Callithrix jacchus: one gene and its partners. Each later gene encodes a partner of the first gene's protein in a complex. Links are inferred from orthologs where the notes say so. Each region holds a gene or a part of one and is shown in the gene's direction. Other genes may lie near its edges.

Evidence for each region. The genes of interacting proteins can lie anywhere in the genome.
Region 2: TAF5 (region 1) and TAF12 share a complex: the UniProt entries of both Homo sapiens proteins name them as parts of the TFIID basal transcription factor complex. The link is inferred for Callithrix jacchus from reciprocal best matches to the Homo sapiens genes TAF5 and TAF12.
Region 3: TAF5 (region 1) and TAF8 share a complex: the UniProt entries of both Homo sapiens proteins name them as parts of the TFIID basal transcription factor complex. The link is inferred for Callithrix jacchus from reciprocal best matches to the Homo sapiens genes TAF5 and TAF8.
Region 4: TAF5 (region 1) and TAF6 share a complex: the UniProt entries of both Homo sapiens proteins name them as parts of the TFIID basal transcription factor complex. The link is inferred for Callithrix jacchus from reciprocal best matches to the Homo sapiens genes TAF5 and TAF6.
Region 5: TAF5 (region 1) and TADA3 share a complex: the UniProt entries of both Homo sapiens proteins name them as parts of the TFTC-HAT complex. The link is inferred for Callithrix jacchus from reciprocal best matches to the Homo sapiens genes TAF5 and TADA3.

Annotation. Positions count from the first base shown.
Region 1 is NC_133513.1:96,365,799-96,369,298, forward strand, and holds part of TAF5 (transcription initiation factor TFIID subunit 5), read left to right. Parts: intron 1-719; coding exon 720-883; intron 884-992; coding exon 993-1,128; intron 1,129-2,136; coding exon 2,137-2,257; intron 2,258-3,500. UniProt on the Homo sapiens protein: The TFIID basal transcription factor complex plays a major role in the initiation of RNA polymerase II (Pol II)-dependent transcription.
Region 2 is NC_133508.1:65,310,759-65,315,010, reverse strand, and holds the start of TAF12 (transcription initiation factor TFIID subunit 12), read left to right. Parts: upstream 1-1,452; 5' UTR 1,453-1,635; intron 1,636-1,918; exon of another isoform or gene 1,919-2,448; intron 2,449-3,054; exon of another isoform or gene 3,055-3,162; intron 3,163-3,404; exon of another isoform or gene 3,405-3,509; intron 3,510-4,252. UniProt on the Homo sapiens protein: The TFIID basal transcription factor complex plays a major role in the initiation of RNA polymerase II (Pol II)-dependent transcription.
Region 3 is NC_133505.1:50,549,702-50,553,778, forward strand, and holds the start of TAF8 (transcription initiation factor TFIID subunit 8), read left to right. Parts: upstream 1-1,277; 5' UTR 1,278-1,295; coding exon 1,296-1,340; intron 1,341-2,118; coding exon 2,119-2,275; intron 2,276-4,077. UniProt on the Homo sapiens protein: The TFIID basal transcription factor complex plays a major role in the initiation of RNA polymerase II (Pol II)-dependent transcription.
Region 4 is NC_133503.1:13,465,391-13,469,545, forward strand, and holds the start of TAF6 (transcription initiation factor TFIID subunit 6), read left to right. Parts: upstream 1-1,355; 5' UTR 1,356-1,840; intron 1,841-4,155. Other genes in the region: CNPY4 (protein canopy homolog 4), read right to left, coding at 857-889. UniProt on the Homo sapiens protein: The TFIID basal transcription factor complex plays a major role in the initiation of RNA polymerase II (Pol II)-dependent transcription.
Region 5 is NC_133516.1:66,954,079-66,958,293, reverse strand, and holds the start of TADA3 (transcriptional adapter 3), read left to right. Parts: upstream 1-1,415; 5' UTR 1,416-1,537; intron 1,538-1,636; exon of another isoform or gene 1,637-1,682; intron 1,683-1,695; exon of another isoform or gene 1,696-2,199; intron 2,200-3,220; 5' UTR 3,221-3,247; coding exon 3,248-3,454; intron 3,455-4,215. Other genes in the region: ARPC4 (actin-related protein 2/3 complex subunit 4), read right to left, coding at 992-1,105. UniProt on the Homo sapiens protein: Functions as a component of the PCAF complex. The PCAF complex is capable of efficiently acetylating histones in a nucleosomal context. The PCAF complex could be considered as the human version of the yeast SAGA complex.

The DNA of each region.
Region 1 (3,500 bases):
CTCTATAATGCAGATTATGAAAAATTGTAGCATTTCCATCTACATAATTTACACATTTTTCTTATAGCTAGCTTGGGAACAGTTTTATACTGTATATAAAATTTTGTGTTCTGAGGGTGATGTTTATATGTGATAATTTGGGTATGGTTGCATTTTATAGAACTCTGAATGCAGTGGCTGAAACAAAGAATTTTTCTCCCATAAAATGAATTTCAGAGGAAGGCCTTCCAGGGCTGGCATGAAGGCTCCACAATGCCATCAAGGTCCCTGGCTCCTTCTAGTTTCTGGTCTACCACCTTTAGAATGTGGCTTTCTTCTTTGTGCTCACCAGTCATTGTGGTTTCAGCATTGCAGCTCCGTTCCAAGAAGGAAGAAGGGGGAGGACAAAAAGCGTAGCTCTGATGAAGCTTTCCATTTTTTATCAGGAAAACAATATTTTTTTCATACAACCGTACCCAATATACTTATATGGACATTCCTAGCTGCAAGGGAGCCTGGGAACAGAAATGACTTAACTGAGCACATTGCTACTCCAATAAAATCAGGGTTCTGTTAGTAAGGAAAAAGGGGTGAATGGCTGTTGGGTAGACAAGTACAGAACCCTGCTTCAGAGTATAAATTACTATTTTGTAATTGTGATTTATCCTATCAAGATGTGAAATGGGTATATTAATGAACAAATAGTTAATTTAAAAAATGTTGGCTCTTTTGACTTGTAGGTATTTTTTGGTTTGTTAAAAGAGCCAGAAATTGAGGTACCTTTGGATGACGAGGATGAAGAGGGAGAAAATGAAGAAGGAAAACCTAAAAAGAAGAAGCCTAAAAAAGATAGTATTGGATCCAAAAGCAAAAAACAAGATCCCAATGCTCCACCTCAGAACAGGTGAGGAAAAAACTTCAGGAACTTGTGTGTGGAGGTATAAGACATGTTATAGAGAGTTCATGTTTGTTAATAGTCAAAAGGTAATTTTGAATCTGTTTTTCTTTCACAGAATCCCTCTTCCTGAGTTGAAAGATTCAGATAAGTTGGATAAGATAATGAATATGAAAGAAACCACCAAACGAGTGCGCCTTGGGCCAGACTGCTTACCCTCCATTTGTTTCTATACATTTCTCAATGCTTATCAGGTTGGTAAAATAATTGGACGATTTCTACCTGGAGAGTCATCTGGAGATTTACCATTAAGAGAAATAAATGTGTTAACTAAAATGAAGTTTTGTTATTTAAACTCTTGATATAATTTAAAGACAGCAGTCAGGAAAAGAGAATTGGATACTGCACAGAATAGATAGAAGCCAGTGTTTAATGGCATTTGTTGCACTGATCAGAATTCCGCTTGCCTTTGAGGAGGAGGAAATTGTGGTTCATCTCTTTTGAGCTTGGTTTAAGTAATTACGTAAACTTATTTATCAATTTTTTTTAAGACAGAACTTCCACCTCCTGGGTTCAAGTGATTCTCGTGCCTCAGCCTCAGCCTCCCGAATAGCTGGGATTACAGGTGCCTGCCACCATGCCCAGCTAAAGTTTTGCATTTTTAGTAGAGACAGGATTTTGCCATGTTGCCCAGGCTGGTCTTGAACTTTTGACCTCAAGTGATCTGCCCGCCTGGACTTCCAAAAGTGCTGTGATTACAGGCATGAGCCACTGTGCCCAGCCATGTAAACTTTATTTTATATTTTAATTTGATTGTATTTTTTTAAGATGGCATCTCCTCTGACACCCAGGCTGGAGTACACTGGCACGATCTTGGCTCACTGCAACCTCTGCCTCCCTGTTTAAGTGATTTTCCTGCCTCAGCCTCCTGAATAGCGGATTACAGGCATGAGCCACCATGTCCAGCTAATTTTTGTATTTTTAGTAGAGATGGGGTTTCGCCATGTTGACCAGGCTGGTTTAGAACTCCTGAGCTCAGGCAGTCCACCTGTCTCAGCCTCCCAAAGTGCTGGGATTACAGGTATGAGCCACTGTGCCTGGCCAAACTTAATATTTTAAATCAAGAATTTTACAAATATATTCCTTAAAATGGGGGTTGAGGGTATATTTAGTAGAGTGTGAAAATGATTAACATTTGCTTCCTCTCCTGTACTCTAAATGCCCTAAAATAGTATTGTTTAGTCTAAAACTTTTATTGGCAGGGTCTCACTGCAGTGGATGTCACTGATGATTCTAGTCTGATTGCTGGAGGTTTTGCAGATTCAACTGTCAGAGTGTGGTCTGTAACACCCAAAAAGCTTCGTAGTGTCAAACAAGCATCAGGTACTGAAATGACCTTTTGGAATGTGAACTTGCCATTAGTCTATACTAATCTTGATTCCACCGAAAATACACAGGAGATTGTGATCTTTGCGGAAATTCACTTAATTTTACTTTAACTCAAGATTCTAACATTCCCAACAGTGAAAAAAGCTCTGGAGTGGCTGGGTTACTAGACTGGTTTAATTTCTTTGGGCCTTGTTTTCTCATCTGTAGAATTAGGGTATTGGGCTAATAAAGTTAAAGTTAAAAATCTAATATTTTATGATTGTTTGCTTGTAAATCTTGTAAAATCTTTAAATAAGGGATGGCACTTCCTGTTTTAGCCATAAAAAATGGCTAAAAAAAGAACAAACAAGATCAGGATTTTATTTGAAAAAAAAATTTTTTTTTTTTTTGAGACAGAATCTCGCCTTGTCACCCAAGTGTCGCCTTGTTACCTACTGCAGTGGTGCAATCTTCTTGGCTCACTGCAACCTCCACCTCCCAGGTTTGAGTGATTGTCCTGCCTCAGCTTTCCCAGCTCCCCAGTAGCTGGGATTACAGGTGCCCACCACCATGCCCAGATAATTTTTGTATTTTTAGTAGAGATGGGGTTTCACCATGTTGGCCAGGCTGAACTGACTCCTGACCTCAAGTGATCCACCTGTTTCACCTCCCAAAATGCTGGAATTATAGGTGGCTCACTGCAACCTCCACCTCCCAGATTCAAGCTATGTTCCTGTCTCCAAACCCGGCCTGAAAGAAACCTTTTTACTAACTATATCATTTAAAGCAATACATTTTAAATTATTTTCATATTTCCATAGTTTTTTTAAAAAAGTTTTTTGAGATGGAGTCTGTTGCCTAGGCTGGAATGCAGTGGTGTGATCATGGCCTGCTGCAGACTCCAATCCCTGGGCTCAAGTAATCCTCCCACCTTAGCCTCCTGAGTACCTAGGACTATAGGTGTGTGAAACAACACTGGCTAATTTTTTATTTTTTGTGGAGACAGGGTTTCTCCATGTTGCCCAGGCTGGTCTCGAACTCCTGGGCTCAAGCAATCTGCCTGCCTTGGCCTCCCAAAGTTCTGGGACTACAGGTGTGAGCCACCTGCCTGGCTCATAGTCTTCATTTTTGTGAAACACTGTGGCATAGTGGACAAAACTGTTTCAATCCTGGTTCCCACGCTGAGTAGCAGTGTGCACTGTAGCAAATGATCTGTTCTGAACCTCAGTTTCTTCTCAAATGCTGAGATCATACCGCC
Region 2 (4,252 bases), on another chromosome or scaffold:
GGACTGGAGTGCAGTGGTGCGATCATGGCTTATTGTAACCTCTGCCTCCTGGGTTTAAACAATTCTGTCTTCACTTCCTGAGTAGCTGGGATTACAGGCATGCGCCACCAGGCCTGACTAATTTTTTTTTGTATTTTTAGTAGAGACTGGGCTTCACCATATTGGCCAGGCTGGTCTCAAACTACTGACCTTGTGATCTGCCTGCCTCGGCCTCCCAGAGTGCTGGGATTACAGAACTGCGCACAGCCCAGGTTGCAAACTTTTTAAGAACCAGGATATCATCCGTCTTAGACACCAGTTATGTACTCAGGACATAGCAAAAGGCTTGGCACACAAGACTCAATAAACACTTGTCAAATGATTCAATCTGGGTCTTAAAAAAGAGGTATAGGTGTTCAATAACAAAAAGTGGAATGCCAGACCCTAAAAAGAATGGAGAGCAGTGGCAGGGAAATAAGGCTAGGAATACAGCTTGGAGCCCAATGTTCATGAGGACTTGAATCTGAGAATTTGGATTGGGTGGCAGTGAAGAGCGTGGATTGGGAGTGTGGTAGGATGATTCGGAAGATATAAAGACAGGGGAGGATGCCGCACCAATTTGGGCAGCTCTTTGTGATTCCTGCTGGCAGATACTGTGGCTTACTCTGGGCTGTCACAGCTCTTTATAAATTTTTTGGTGTTTGTGGGTTCTTCTCCGACTTACTGTGAACCTCACAGATGCTGGAATTGTGAGGCATGCTTGCATGCCTAACATTCCAGTCTGGCAACAAGTAAAAAAAATACAGCAGTTCTCACCAAGCATTTGACAACTGAAAAACTGAAAGCACTAGAGATTGCTACAGGACAGGCTCTGGCGTAGGAGTGAGTTCTGAGTTCAAGCTGAGGCTCTGCACTTATTAGCTAGAACTTTTCTTAATCACTCACAGGTCTCCTCTGATTAAATGTCGTAACGGAGGAGGTAAGCGGATTAGCATAATTCCTGGCAAACAGTAAGCATTCAACTGTATTGTTGAATTGATAGTTCACAAGCACAACCAACCGATTTCTCTCGTCTCCCAGTTCTTGTGCTGCCAACTTCCTCGTTGAGGTCCAACAGGATATCTATAGGGTAATGTGTCCCAGATGATATCCCGGTCCTGACACCATGACAAAGACAACAACCAAAAATGGCGACCTCAAAGCCATCTGAGGGCGTCAATTACCCGTCCTGCTACCGATAGATAAATAAGCAGGGTCAGTTAGAGAAGCTAGTGAAGGATTCTTAACGCTGGGGTGGAATACGCAGAGCTCACTCACGTTGCCACTCAATCACAAGCAGTTAAAACCGCAAGCTGCAGAGTCTAGCTACATACAGCCCAATACAGCCACCACGTGTCGGAGGGCAGTCTGCGCCTGCGCTAGCGAGGCGCGCGCCCGCCTGCCGGAAGAGCCGCGCGTTTCCGGGTTGGAGGCGGGGAGCGGTGCCGGAAGTAGTCGGGGAGGGCCGCGCAGTCGGACCGGCTGCTGAGACGAACGCTACATTGGGGCAGTCTCCGCATATCATGGGGAGATAGACGCTGCTGCCTGTGAGTCTTGGGCCCTGGCAGTTGAGGAACAAGAGCGGGAGGAGGGAGTCAGGACCCAGACCTACAGTAGGTCAGTGTTCGAAGGTCCAGGTTGTGAACGAGATGGGGCTGTGAGGATTCAGGTTCTCGGGAAGGGACCTACTGAGAGGATCGGGCTCGGAGAAGACGCGGCTCTGGGGACCCGGGCTCTAGATGGGACTTAGGGAACGGGAATGGATGTGAGTTCTCCAGCATCTGAGGGAAAGCGGTCTGAGAGGAACAGGATTATGAGAACCGGCACTCCTAAGAGGAGAGGGTCGTAAGTGAATGGGGCGTGAAGACGGGCTCCGGAGTGGTAAAAGTGGAGCGGTGAGGACTTGGGCTCCTAAGAGGCAGAAGCGGGACAGTGAAGACCCGGGCTCCTAAGGATTCAGAAACGGGGCAGCGAAGACTTAGGTTCCTGAGGGGCAGAAGCAGACAGCGAAAACTTGAGTTTGGAAGGGAACAGAAGCGGACAGTGAAGGCTGGAGCTTCTGTGGGGATGGGATCCGGGCTTTGAGACTCCGAGTTCCTGAGTCTCAGAACAGGGCTGTGAGCACCAGAGCTCCTAAAAGCCTTGGATCTAAGGGACCATGGATGTGAGATCAGCCTACAAAGTAAAGGGAAAGGGCTTGGAAAAGATTCAGTGATCCATTTTTTTCTCGTATTCTCTGAACCCAGAGGGATAAAGGACATATCAGGGGAAGACAACTTCTCCTTCGCACTGCCTTTTTGGCTCTTGGCAGGCTTTTCTTGTGTCAGATACTCAATCTAGGAAGCCCACATGCAAACATCTTCATTTTCTGCTTCATTCTTGGGAATCAGATGTGAAGTTGAAAACAGTTGAAACTCAGTTATATACTTAGTAAGTGCTTTAAATCCCATTCCACTCAACCCTGAATGATCACAGAACTCTGCGTCTCAAATTAAAGAGTGTCAGTGATGGAAGGGTCCCAAAAGATCATCTCTTAAAAACTCCTATTTTACATTTAAAGAAGCTAAGTTTCAAAGAGACTTAGATCACAGTGAGGCAATGGTTAGTTAGATCATAATTTTAATACAGTACCCTGCTATATGTAGCAAATGAGATGCTTGGTTAATGTGCCTTAAATAAATGCTTCTAGAATGTTTGCTTTATCTTCAAGCTCAGGAGGAAATTTTTTTTTTTAAGGCAGGGTCTCTGTCACCCAGGCTGAAGTGCAGTGGCTCAGTCTTGGCCATGCACCCTCAACTTCTGTCTCAAGCAATCTTCCCACCTATACCTCGTGAGCAGCTTGAACTACAGGCATGTACCACCATGCCCTGTTAATTTTTAAATTTTTTGTAGAGACAGGGTCTCACTATATTGCCCAGGCTGGTCTCAAACTCCTAGGTGCAAGCGATCCCCTCCCACCTTGGCCTCCCAAAGTGCTGAGATTACAGGCATGAGTCACCTTGCCCCCTCCTCCAGTTTTGTTTGTTTTTGAGACAGAGTCACCCAGGCTGGAGTGCAGTGGCAAGATCTCGGCTCACTGCAATCTCTGCCTTCCTGGTTCAAATGATTCTTCTGCCTCAGCCTACGGAGTAGCTGGAATTACAGGTGTGTGTTGCAACGCCCGGCTAATTTTTGTATTTTCAGTAGAGATGGGGTATTGCCATGTTGGTCAGGCTGTCTTGAACTCCTGCCACCACCATCAGCCTCCCAAAGTGCTGGGATATAGGCGTGAGCCACTGTGCCTGGCCCAGTTTTTATTGAATGTTGTTAATGTATTGACATCAATATAGTGAATGTCACTTAATAGTGAGGAAATCTTTTTTTTTATTTTTCTATTTTTGAGACAGGGTCTTGTTCTGTTGCCCAGATTGGAGTACAGTGGCATCATCATGGTTTGCTGCAACCTATATTCTTGGGCTCAAGCACTCCTCCTGTGTCAGCCTCCCAGGTAGGTGGGACTATAGGCATGAGCCACCACACCCAGCTAATTTTTTTTTTTTTTTTGAGACAGTCTCTGTTGCCCAGGCTGGAGTGCAATGGTGCAGTCTCAGCTCATTACAACCTCTGCCTCCTGGGTTTGAGCAATTCTCCTGCCTTAGCCTCCCGAGTAGCTGGGATTATAGGTGCCCGCCACCACCTGTGGCTAATTTTTGTATTTTTAGTAGAGATGGGGTTTCACCATGTTGGCTAGGCTGGTCCCGAACTCCTGACCTTGTGATCCGCCCACCTCAGCCTCCCAAATTGCTGAGATTACAGGGGTGAGCCACCGCACTGGACGGCACCCAGTTAATTTTTTAATTTTTTTAATAGAGACAGTGTTTGGCTGTGTTGCCTAGGTTGATGTTGAATTTTTGGCCTCAAGTGATCCTCCCGCCTTGGCCTCCCAAAATATTGGGATTATAGGCATGAGCTACTACTGCACCTGGCTGGAACCTTCAAATAAAGCTCAGTGTTATTTGTTTATTTAACAAGCCGTTTGGAAAGTCATAAATAAGTGTGTCCTATATTTTTAATAGAAGCATTTATTAGAGATGGCCACTTTTGGGTAAGGATGGTGGGGAGACTTGCACTAGTCACTTCCTTCAATATGACTATCTTTTTCTGAAACCTACTCAGATTAACTAAGCACAGCTTAAGCACTTTCAAGTATTGTATGATTTAATTATCACAGCCCCACAAGTTAGATATTGTCAGT
Region 3 (4,077 bases), on another chromosome or scaffold:
TCAGGTGATCCACCCGCCTGGGCCTTACTAGAGTGCTGGGATTAGAGGTGTGAGCCACCACGCCCGGCTGATTTCTTGACTGTTAATACACGTCAGGCACCATAACATACCCTTTCTGTGTATCATCTCATTTTTACCCCGATTTCACAGAAGAGGAAACTAAGGCACACTGAGGATAAGGTCAAGTGCCCGAAGTCCCATAGCTGTCTAGTGTTAGGATCCAAGCCCAGCGTCTTCGTCCTTCCAGGTACCTGCAAATGGGAACGAATACGGCGCAGCCAGAGGGGCTGACAAGCAAGGGCAGCCGTGGGCACCCCACACCCTGGGAGTGAGGCGGCAAGGAACAACCCCCCCCCCAACAGCCACAGGCTCGCCCTGCAAATACTTGCGGGTCGAGGGCGCGAAGGCAGCAGGATGCAGCCATAGACTTGGACTAGGTGGTCCAGGCTCTACTTCCAAGCGGGCCATTGATTGACAGGCTGAGCGGCCCTCAGCACAATATAATGAGGCTGGATGCTCCAGGGTTTCCCAACATTAACCACTCAGGAGAATCACCTGGGGATCTCCTTAATAAGAAAGATTCCAAGCCCCTCTTCCAGAGAGTTAAGTCACTGGGAATTGGCTGGGCACGGTCAGGTGTTGCCAATAATCAGACAAGTTTATAAAACCCTGCGGGTGTAGATGACCTCCTGGGTCCTTCCAGGAGTGTACTCTTTTTAAGAAATGATTTTCATATTAAAAGATTTCTTTTAACTCAGTGAAATAGAGAGCTTGTTTTCACTGTCCACAACCAAGCCACTGAAGGCCCTGAACACTTCGCTCTCAAAAGGTCACGTGAGGCAGGCTTGGTGTCTCACGCCTGTAATCCCAGGACTTTGGGAGGCCGAGGCCGCGGATTGCTTGAGCCCAGGAATCTTAGACAAGCCTGGCCAACATGGAGAAACCCGGTCTCTACTAAAAATACAAAAATTAGCTGGGCATGTTGGTCCCCGCCTGTAATCCCAGCTACTCCGGAGGCTGAGGCGCGAGGATCGCTTGAGCCGGTGAGGTGGAGGTTGCAGTGGGCCAAGATCGCGCCATTGCACCCTCTAGCCTAGGAGACAGAATCTCTGTCCTGTCTCCCAACCCCAACCCCCGCCAAAAAAAAAAAAAAAGTCACGTGAGCCGGGGTTACCGGCGGCGTCCAGTAACCCACCGAGCTTCGCAAAACCTAGAGGGGCGCATACCACCCCGCCCCGCCCCGCGACTACAAGTCCCATCCCGCCCTGCGCTCGCGCACACTACGCCAGAGCAAGATGGCCGACGCGGCGGCCACAGCTGGGGCCGGCGGCTCCGGAACGGTAAGGGCAGGAGGCGCGTGCTGGAGCCGAAAGAGTTTGGGTATTCTGAAGCTTTCCCCTAGACTGAGCCACAAGCGAATCCCCAGAAATCCAGCCCCACCATGAGGTCCTATTGGCGGAGGGTCTTTCAGGCCTTACGCACCCCCCTCCCTGGGACTTGGCTGCGGCCTCCGGAGTTGGCGGACCTGTGTCTTGATTGGCTCGTTTGCTGTTGGGGGTTGGGAACCCGGAATACCCCCTGATTGGTCTGAAAATGCCGTTTTCGCTTTCTTATTGGCCGGCCAAAGTTGAAAGGGATTCCCTTTTCAAAATATTTAGCTTTCTTACATTTTCGTGCTGTTATCTTTTGCTCTTCTCTCCTCGCCGTCACCTCTTATTATGTTTTCAATTTCCCTTTCAATGAAATGGTGTGAAGATGGGGGGCACAAGAGAGGGATCCTGTTTTTTCTGGGGGGACAGATCTATTCAATCCCATCATGCGTGTTTCTCCAGCTATATATTCTAATGGTATGCTAAAGTAGAAGATAAAAGTCCTACTATTTTATCTTATTGGGACCGTACGTTTTAGGTAGGCAGAAGAGTAGTCTCTGTATTTAAAGCACCTTGGGTGCTCAATTATTACTCAGTTGGCCAAGATCTGTAAATCTAAACGTTAAGCACCGATTTTTAAAATAAAAGTATTTAGTAAAAGCACTTTTGCCTTGCCACTGACCATGTGTGAACTCTGTGATTGCATCCTTCTCCTGGATGAAAATCTCTCTGGGCTGCTGATTCACAGAGATCGGGAAGTAAACAGTCCACTAACCCTGCCGATAACTATCATCTGGCCCGGAGGAGAACCCTGCAAGTGGTTGTGAGCTCCTTGCTGACAGAGGCCGGGTTTGAGAGTGCTGAGAAAGCATCCGTGGAAACATTGACAGAGATGCTGCAGAGCTGTGAGTCCGTGGAAACATTAGTCCTTTTTCCAATCAACCCCAGCATCAGTTTTGTGCCCTGCTTTACGATCGTGTTTGAGAGGATTTAAGAAAAAGAAGATCAACTTTTTTCTTAAGAGGGGAGAAAAAAAATGTTTTTAATGTAAAAAGTTGAAAAAAGAAAAAAGCATAATGGGCCTGGCGTGGTGGCACACACCTGTAATCCCGGCATTTTGGGAGGCCAAGGCAGGTGGGTCACCTGAGGTCAGGAGTTCAAGACCAGCCTGGCCAAGATGGCGAAACCTCATCTCTAATAAAAAATAATAAAAATTAAAAATTAGCTGAACATGGTGTTAGTTGGGTGCCTTAATCCCAGCTACTCAGGAGACTAAGGCAGGAGAATCACTTGAATCTGGGAGGTGGAGGTTGCAGTGAGCCGAGATTATGGCACTGCACTCCAGCCTGGCAATAGAGCAAGACTCCATCTCCAAAAACAACGAAAGAAAGAAAGAAAGAAGAGCATAATGAAGTGACTTACAGGCTTCAGAATCAGATAGACCTGAGTGTACATCATCACTCTGTCACTTAATAGCTTGGGCAAGCCACTGAACCTCCTGAACCTCAATTTCCTCATTTTTGAAATGGGATAACACTTTGTACCTCATGGAGTTGTGAGTGTGAGATGTGTATATAAAACATTCAATGCTGGGGAGATTGTAAGCTCTTAGTGAGTTGTGGATGCCCTTAAAGACTTTTGTTGGGGAGTCAGGACTAATTCCTTATGCAATAGATAACATCACATTATGTAATCAAATGCTAGATTATGTAATACAAAGAACAAGGGATAAAGCCACTTTTTTTTTTTTTTTTTTTTTTGAGACGGAGTCTGTTGCCCAGGCTGGGGCGCAGTGGCACAATCTCAGTCAGTTCACCGTAGCCTCCCACTCCTGGGTTCAAGCAGTTCTCCTGCCTCAGCCTCCTGAGTAGCTGGGATCACAGGCGTGCACCACCATGCCCAACTCATTTTTGTATTTTTAGTAAAGATGGTGTTTCACCATGTTGGCCAGGCTGGTCTCGAACTCCTGACCTCAGGTGATCTGTCCACCTTAGACTCCCAAAGTGCTGAGATTACAGGCATGAGCCACTGCGCCTGGCCAAAAAGCTGCTTTTAAAAGCAACGTGTTGAGATTTAGAAGCCCAACATTGTCTCACATAGGCTATTCTGCATGTACAACATATTTCCCTGTTTTGAACTTTTGGGGGATGGGATCTGATGAGGGATGGAAGTATTTACAGTGTTTCTTAGGGATCAACAACTATGAAAGGAAGTAGGAGAAAGGTTTGGGGAGAGGGAGATGTGGAGTGCAGTGCAGGCCCAACAAAGAATGGACAACTCAGCCAGGACCCCTGGAGCATTATTGCCCATCAAGCTGAAAGGGCTCTGCCTTTATACTCAGGATTTGATCAAACACTGATGTGGGCTACCCCAGGAAGGGTGATCTTGGGCAAGGTGGCTCTCTGCAGCTGATGTCAGGCACTTTTACATACCAAATGTTTCCCTAAAGCAGTGATCTCAAACATTTCAGCCTCAGAACTATATTTATTTATTCTTTTAGAGATGGGGTCTTGCTATGTTGCCCAGGCTGGCCTCAAACTTCTGGGCCCAAGCCTCTCACATAGCTGGGATTACAGGCATGTGCTACCATGCCCAGCTCTCAGAATCCTTTTCTATTAATAAACATTGAGGACCCCAAGTAGCTTTTGTATATGTGTATTTGCCACATTAGAAAATAAAACAAATTTTGAAAATAAGAATGTACAAT
Region 4 (4,155 bases), on another chromosome or scaffold:
GACTGATACAATTAGGTGATTAAGTCTGTGTTTAAAAAGGCTGACAGGTCAGGGGAGAAGAGTGGGACACGGAGGTGAAAAGAGACAGAGATGAGGACTACGTCATGAGAGTATCATGACCACCTTTCCTGACTTTACGTTTCTTCCCTCAAGAATCCAGGGAAGAAACGTGAAGTCAGGAGGGCAGCAAACTAGGGGATCAGGGCCAGCTCTGAAGTGCCCCCTTTCTCAACTGGGCCCCACACTAGTGCAGCTACGGAAAGTGCTGCTTGCTGAAAAATCCACATAGTACACACCGTCTGCAAAGTCTCACCCGGATGGGGAACCTCCCCTAGTCGTGTGGCCTCCTGTTGTTTTTGAGCTTGAAGGGCAGAATTACTCACCCTCAAACCCCGTCAGGGGTCGTGGGGCCTGTAATTTGGGAGCGTCTATGCTAGGGTGGGGCAGCAGATGTCCACAAGGCCTGAGCCTCACAGAGCTCCTGCAGCCTCTGCAGATTAAGGTCTGGTGACGGGAAACACGCACTGAAGATGCTCTAAAGTTGGCAGTCCAGGGCCAATGGTCCCTGAACTACAATTCCCACAATCCATTGGGGGGGGGCGGGGGGGTCCAAGTCAACCAAAAAAATGCAGGCTCTCTTTGAATGCCTCCTGGGAAGTGCAGTGCCATAGCTTTGGGGCGGCACTACACGTTTGCTTCCTTGACCCCATCCATTCAAATTCAGCCAAGCTCCACCAGAACCTCCCTCAAGCTTTCAAGGAGTTCAGGTGACCCACCCAATACAGTCCAAGAGGTCCGGCCTAGAAGAAGGAGGTGTGGCCGGGCGATGCCAACAGGGGCTACCCCCTTCAGATACCTTCGCATTTGCTGGGCAAACGTTCTGTGTCATCGTCCTCTTCCTTCGGCTTCCCAGCCCAAGCCCCGTGCACGGCCAAAAGGAAAAGCAATATTCCCAACCACATAGGTCCCATGACAAAGCGCCATCCACAAACAACCATCGCTTGCTTTCAAACCAACTTCGGGAAGGCAGTGGGTCCTTTAAATGCCCAGGCGGCTGGCGGCAACCTTAAATCCAGCCTGGCAAGGTCGGCGCACGAGCAGAATCAGCTCGGTAGGGGGCGGGGCCTCATTGCTCTGAGTTTCTCCGCCTCCGTTTTGTGGCGCCTCTTCAAGGTCCTGGCAGCCGGGTAGTGAAGGAATAATTTGCAGTAATTCAACCAAGACGGAATTCTTCTTATATGTAGATGTTTAAACAAAATTTTAAAATATAATTTCATTCCGTGAGTCCAGAGAACGTATTCTGGCACGGGGAAGCGGTAGCGATTTGGACTTCCGCTCTGCCAGGACCTGCTCCTAGGAGGGGGCGGGGCCAAGATGGCGCCCAGCGCCGGGTGAGCGGCGTCTTGGCGGCGGCCAGAGTTTTCCTGCTCCCAGCGTTCGGCTGGCGGGGGCGGGTCTGAGTGGTACTCTGGAGGAGACCCTTTGAAGGTCCCTTGTGGGGACTAGAAACAAGACGGTTGGTTGTGTGTCCGTGCTCGTGGGGACCCCGTGTGTGTGTCTGCATTGGAGAGATGTTGCAGGAGATGAGGTGGGCTCTCTGAGCCTCCTTTCGCGCTCCCCGGGGATTTTCGACCTGCTTCTCTGCTGGGATCCCGCTCAAGTTAATCCTCCCCTGGGACGCCTTCCTGCCGCCTCCACTGATCTGAGGAGATCCTGTGACTGTAGCGTGTTTTATGAGCCTTTACTGACAGAGGGTACCGCCGGGTATTGAAGGATTCGTAAGAGTTCGCCAGGGAAGTGGGACACGACCGCCTCTTATAAACGCGGCGCCAGGCACAGAGTATGTCTCGAATAATTGTGTTCCCTATAGATAAGACTTTAAAAAGTTGGGGAGGAGACCAGGGATGGTTTGAAAAGAACCAGTTTCTTCTTCGGCCTCCCTCTTCCCATCCTTCCAGCACAGCCCCACCCTACCACCTGTACTATTCCTGAACAGTATTGATGTTAATCTTCCTAATGTCCAGCTCCAGTGTGCCACTTGACTTTTTTTTTTTTTTCCTTGAGACAGGGTTTCTGTCTGTTGCCCACGCTGCTATGGAACTCCTAGGCTCAAGTGATCCTCCCACCTCAGCCTCTTAAGTAGCTGGGATGACAGGTCCACCATGCCAGGCTAATTTTTCAATTTTTTGCAGAGATGGGGGTCTCACTATGTTAAGCAAGCTGTTTCAAACTCCCATCCTCAAGTGATCCACCTTCCTCTGTCTCCCAAAGTGCTGGGATTACTGGAGTGAGCTACCTTGCTTGGCTCCATTTTGTTGTTTTTTTAAGACTGGAGTCTCCCTCAGGCGCCCAGGCTGGAGTGCAGTGACATGATCTCGGTTCACTGTAACCTCTACCTCCTGGGTTCAAATGGTTCTCCCACCTCAGCCTCCCAAGTAGCTGGGACTACAGGTGGCCACCCCCATGTTCTGCTAATTTTTGTGATTTTACAAAAAAATGGGATCTTGCCACGTTGACCAGGGTGGTCTTGAACTCCTGACCTCTGGTGATCTTCCCACCTCGGCCTCCCAAATTGCAGGCGTGAGCCACTGCACCTGGTCTACTTTGCTTTTAACTGCAGTGTAGGCTCGAAGTTTGGACCTGTGACATATTTTCTTAATAACAGCAATAACTAGTAGTTACCGAGTACCAACATCTCTAAACCTTACAACTAATTCATCTACTTAACAAATATTTATGATGTCCCAGGCTGGGATCCTGGAATACATTAGTGAACATAATAAAGTGCCCTGTCAGCTGGGCATGATGGCTCACGCCTGTAATCCCAGCACTTTGGGAGGCCGAGGCAGGCGGATCACCAGAGGTCAGGAGTTCGAGACCAGCCTGAGGAACATGGCGAAACCCCATCTATACTAAAAATACAAAAATTAGGCCGAGCACGGTGGCTCATGCCTGTAATCCCAGCTACTCGGGAGGCTGAGGCAGGAGAATCACTTGAACCCACGAGGCAGAGGTTGCAGTGAGCCGAGATTGCGCCACTGCACTCCAACCTGGCGCCTGGCGACAGAGCAAGACTCTGTCTCAAAAAAAAAAGAAAATAGGAAAATTAGCCTGCTGTGCTGGCACATGCCTGTAATACCAGCCACTTGGGAGGCTGAGGCAGGAGAATCGCTTGAACCCGGAAGGCAGAGGTTGCAGTGAGCCAAGATCGCACCACTGCACTCCAGCCTAGGCAACAGGAGTGAATTCCATCTCAAAAAAATAAAAAGCAAATAAAGAGCCCTGTCTATATGGTGTGTGGTGGGGGTAATAAACAATAAGAAACGATACAACGAATTAGAAGGTTTTTTTGTTTTTTTGAGATGGAGTCTCACTTTGTTGCCAGGCTGGAGTACAGTGGCTCACTGCAACCTCTGCCTCCTGGGTTCAAGTGATTCTCCTGCCTCAGCCTCCCAAGTAGCTGGGACTATAGGCACATGCCACCACGCCCAGCTAATTTTCATATTTTTAGTAGAGACAGGGTTTCACCATGTTGGCCAGGATGGTGTCAATCTCTTGACCTTGTGATCTACCCGCCTTGGCCTTTCAAAGTGCTGGGATTACAGGCGTGAGCCATTGCACCCAACCCAGATGTTAAATGCTATAGAAAAGAAAAAGTGGCATTCATTCAAAAAAAGAAAAGAAAAAGTGGGCTGCTCCCACTCTGAGGGCAGAGTGCAGAGTTAAATAGGGTGGTCAGGGCAGACAGGCAATCAGGCATTCTGGAAGAACATTCCAGGCAGAGGGAATGGAGTAAAGGCTATTAGACAAGAGTATGCCTGGCAAGTTGAAGGGGCAGCCTGAAGGAATATGTGTCTGGATCAAAGTGGAAGCAGGAAGGAAAGGCAGTCAGAGATGTAATGGGAGAAGGCAAATTTTGAAGGGCTTTGTAGGACATTAAAAGGATTTTATCTTCTTTTTCTTTTTTCTTTTTTTTTTTTTTGAGAAGGAGTCTTGCTCTGTCACCCAGGCTGGAGTACAGTGACATGATCTTTGCTCACTGCAACCTCTGCCTCTCGGGTTCAAGTGATTCTCCTGCCTCAACCTCCCTAGTAGCTGCAATTATAGGCGTCCGCCACCATACCCATCTAATTTTTGTATTTTTAGTAGCGATAG
Region 5 (4,215 bases), on another chromosome or scaffold:
TCTATATTTTGGTTGTAGTAGTGGTTACACAGCATGGCTTTCTTTTTTTTTTTAAACACGGGGTCTTTCTATATTGCTCAGGATGAAGTGCAGTAGCTATTCACAGGAGTGATCACAGTGTACTACAGCCTCAAACTTCTCGGCTCAAACAATCCTCCTGCCTCAGCCTCCTGATAGCTGGCACTACAGGCACATGCCACCATATCCAGCAAGATTTTGTCAACACTTATAGACAGTAAACCTAAAAAGGGTGACTGGCTCCATGACGCCTGTCCCTTCATGAATAAAACAGATGTAGTTTCATGTAATACCTCAATAAACTTGAATTTTTAAAAATCAAGAGACCTGTGCTCCATTAGGAAAAAAAAAATCCAGATTTCTAGCTGAGATACGAGGTCACAAAGTTTGCTAGGATAGGGAACCCAGGGTGAAGAGCAAGTTTAGAATGGAAGATGAGTTTTGAACTAGAGATCTAATTTCAATATAGCTTCAAAATATCCAGACAAACCCTGAAAGAGAGTTGGGAAGCCAGATTAGGAGTCACCAGAATGCAAAGGTCTTCGAAGCCAAGAGACTAGATCAGTATCACCAGGGAGGGTGTGGCGAAGAGGGAGGTGGTGATCCAAAGTCACAAATCCCAGGAATGCCCACATGTATGAAAAGGGAAGACTTCCAGGAAGGAAGGAATGAACAGTATGACAGCTAGCAAACACTAAGGCTGACACAGTTCTGTTCTGACTAGGAAGGGCCTGAGTGGAAGCAACACGAGAGATCCTCCAATGGGGTGGAAGCTGGGCTGGAGGTACCAACAGTGGTTCTCCCACTCTTGGTACATCCAGAAGAAGTGTGGCCGCCTGCCTTGAGCAACTGTAGGGTCAGGAAGGCAGAAGAGGACAAAGGGCGTGTTTAGTGACGCTCCATTGTGGATAGGCAGGTGGCCTTGCTACACGCCTCAGCGGCCCTACGACGGGCTAAGAAGCCGACTACGTACCCTCAAAACGCTCCAACAAGCCCTAGGAGGCCCCACTTCCGGCTTCCTCCAGGGCTCAGGAAAAGTCGCTACCTGCTTCGAAGGCTGATCGTGAAGCAGCAAGGCCCGCTTCATACCAGCGAATACCCCCACTCACCCCTTCCTCACCTCGGGCTCCCGCCCCGCCTCTTTCTCCCACCCTCATCGTGTCCCCACAGCCCCCGGCATCCATCGGCCCTGGGCCCCCACGGCAAAGCCACATCTCCCACCGGCCCACAGCCCTGAGGCTGAACAGCTGGGGGTCCCTAACTCGGGACCGGGCTCTCTCACCATCGCGGGCGCTGGATGGGCCGGAAAGCGGAAGTGCGGAAGCGGCCAGCCCCGCGATGCCTGCCCTTTCGCGAGAAGCGCAGCAGAGGTCTCCGCCCGACTTCCGGACGGTACCATCCATGCTCTGAGCGGGGTATGGAGCGCCTAGAACGCTTGGGCCTCCCGGAAGTTTTCCGGTTAGGGCTCTCTCGGTATTTTTAAACTCTTGTACACGGTTTACTACTCAAGATTCTCCAGGTATGCGTGCATCTCTCGCTTGTCCCTTCTGCCTTCTTGTCTCCTTTGCCACAGCCTCCCCCTAGACATGCAATGGTACAGCCCAGCCTCAGGTTGGGCACCAAATTAGGACAAGCTGAAGCGGAGGAGCCCTTCGTTTCTTCCGGTTCTGTGCCCCCATCCTTTCTCTCGCCCCTCCTACCCGCAGCTCCTGGGGTTCGGCGGGGCTAACTGCGGCGCCGCGATCTCAGCCGCCAAGCCCCGCCCCTCGCCCCGGGCTGTGCCCTGGGGCTCGCCTGAGGCCCACCACCCGCACCCAACCCCTAGTGGGCTTGCTCGAGGCCCACCTTTTCCCTACTTCCCTCAAATCCCAGTAGGCTCGCCCTCGCTGACTCCCCGCCCCCGCGTCAACTGCAAGGGGCCCGCCCATAGCCAGTTCCGGGGCGGTTGCTCCCACCGACCGGAACTCCCCGCGGCCTCGGGGCCGTAGGAGGCAGCAGTGAGGAGGTAGAGGGGGCGGGGGTCGCGCTAGGTGTCCGTGGATAACAGGGACTCTGAAGTCAAGACACTGGGGCGACCCCCGGGCGGTGCCAGCCATTAAATAGTCCCACTTCTTCTGTGCCAGGCACTGAACTGGGCTCTTGACTGGCATCATCTCTTAATCCTCAGACCATCCCAGGGAGGTAGGTACTGTTGTTATCCCCATTTTTCAGATTCAGACTTTTAATGGGGAAACAGACCAAGACTTCTTTTGTTCCCATTTTACAGATGGAAAAACTGAGACTCAAAAAGATCAAATAGGCCGGGCACGGTGGCTCACTCCTGTAATCCCAGCACTTTGGGAGGCTGAGGCGGGCGGATCACCTGAGGTTGGGAGCTCGAGACCATCCAGGCCAACATGGAGAAACCCCGTCTCTACTAAAAATACAAATTAGCCGGGTGTGGTGGTGCATGCCTGTAATCCCAGCTACTCGGGAGGCTGAGGCAGGAGAATCGCTTGAACCCGGGAGGCGGAGGCTGCGGTAACCCAAGATCATGCCATTGCACTGCAGCCTGGGCAACAAGAGCGAAACTCCGTCTCAAAAAAAAAAAAGGTCAAATAACATGTTCAGGGGCACATAAATAGAGAATGTTAAAGCCTGGGCTTGAACCCAGGTCTGTCTGGCTTACCAGCCCACGTTCTAAACCACTATTAGTGAGTGACTAGAGAAATGGGAAATGTGGAGTGTGGTAGGACAAGAAGAGGCAAGAAGAGGCTGAGTCCCAGAGAACTTGGTAAGAATGGGGTGCTTGGAACTCAGTCTTAGCAGAACCCAAGAGAAAAAGAAGGGAAGGAAAGAGCATCAGAAAGGCAAGGCATAGCAGTATAGCATGGTGATCAGGGGTGCAGACTCAAGACTAGCAGGGTTCAAATTGCATCTTGGAAGCATAGGCACATGCCCACCCTTACAGAGTCTCAGTTTCCTTCTCTGTAAAAATGAGATCACAGTGGTTCATGGTGCTGAGCGAGAAGTTCAGTGAGATAGACTGATAAAGTGCTCTGCACCTAGCTTGGCACAAGTTAAGTGCCCTATGAGTAGGAACTGTGCCATCAATCTTGTCAGGAAGGGACTGAACTCTGGCTTCCTTGAGGCTGTCCCTGGAGGTAAGAAGCCCTTGTTTTCAAACTATTTTGTCCCCCATCAATGGCTCTGTCCTCTCCAGCTCCACAGGATCCCCATATCCTGGGCCATGAGTGAGTTGAAAGACTGCCCCTTGCAGTTCCACGATTTCAAGTCTGTGGATCACCTGAAGGTCTGTCCCCGCTACACGGCAGTGCTGGCACGCTCTGAGGACGATGGCATCGGCATTGAGGAGCTGGACACCCTGCAGCTGGAGCTTGAGACCCTGCTGTCTTCTGCCAGCCGGCGCCTGCGTGTGCTTGAGGCCGAAACCCAGGTGATAGCCCAGAGAGGGTCGGTCACCAGAGATGGACTGCAACAAGTTATGGGATGGGTCATTGAGTTAGCCCCATATGCTGAGACCTGGGATACAGGGGTTTGTGGGGAGACGGGGAGAGACCCAAACTGGGCTTGCATGACACAAAAGGACTATGCATGATCCTCTTAAATTGCAAGATTTCTAATTCACTAAGCTTTTATTGACACCCCATCCCCCATTATGTTCTGGGTCCTATGCTAGCTCCTAGTTGGAGCTTGCCAACTAGGAAAGGGAGAAAGTCAGGTACATACTTGTGGTGTTGTGGTAAGGAGTACTAGGGAACTGGAATAGGGAGACCTGGATTTGAATCCTGGCATAAGCACTTGCTGGCATTGCTATTTCCTAGCTATGTGACTCTGGGAAAGCTGCCTCATCTCTGAGTATCAGTTTCCCTATCTGCAAAGTGGGGTGAATAATAGGACCTACCTTAGGGCTTTCATGAAGATTGAAAGAGAATTTTTACAAAAGCGCAGCCCAATACCAGGCACTAAGTAAGCACTTCAGATATTATTTATTCACTATTCTGATTACTTTATTCACAGCATAAACATTCCCTGAGCCTTGTGTGCCAGGCGCTATGCTGTATCCTGCAAAACAGAGATGGTTAAAATGGGCTTTCTGGTCTTCAGTAGCTTATGGTCTAGTTGAAGAGACAAGGTGTGATGGTCATTCCAATGTGACCAAACAACACAGTTGGGTCCACGGTGGAGGTATGAAGT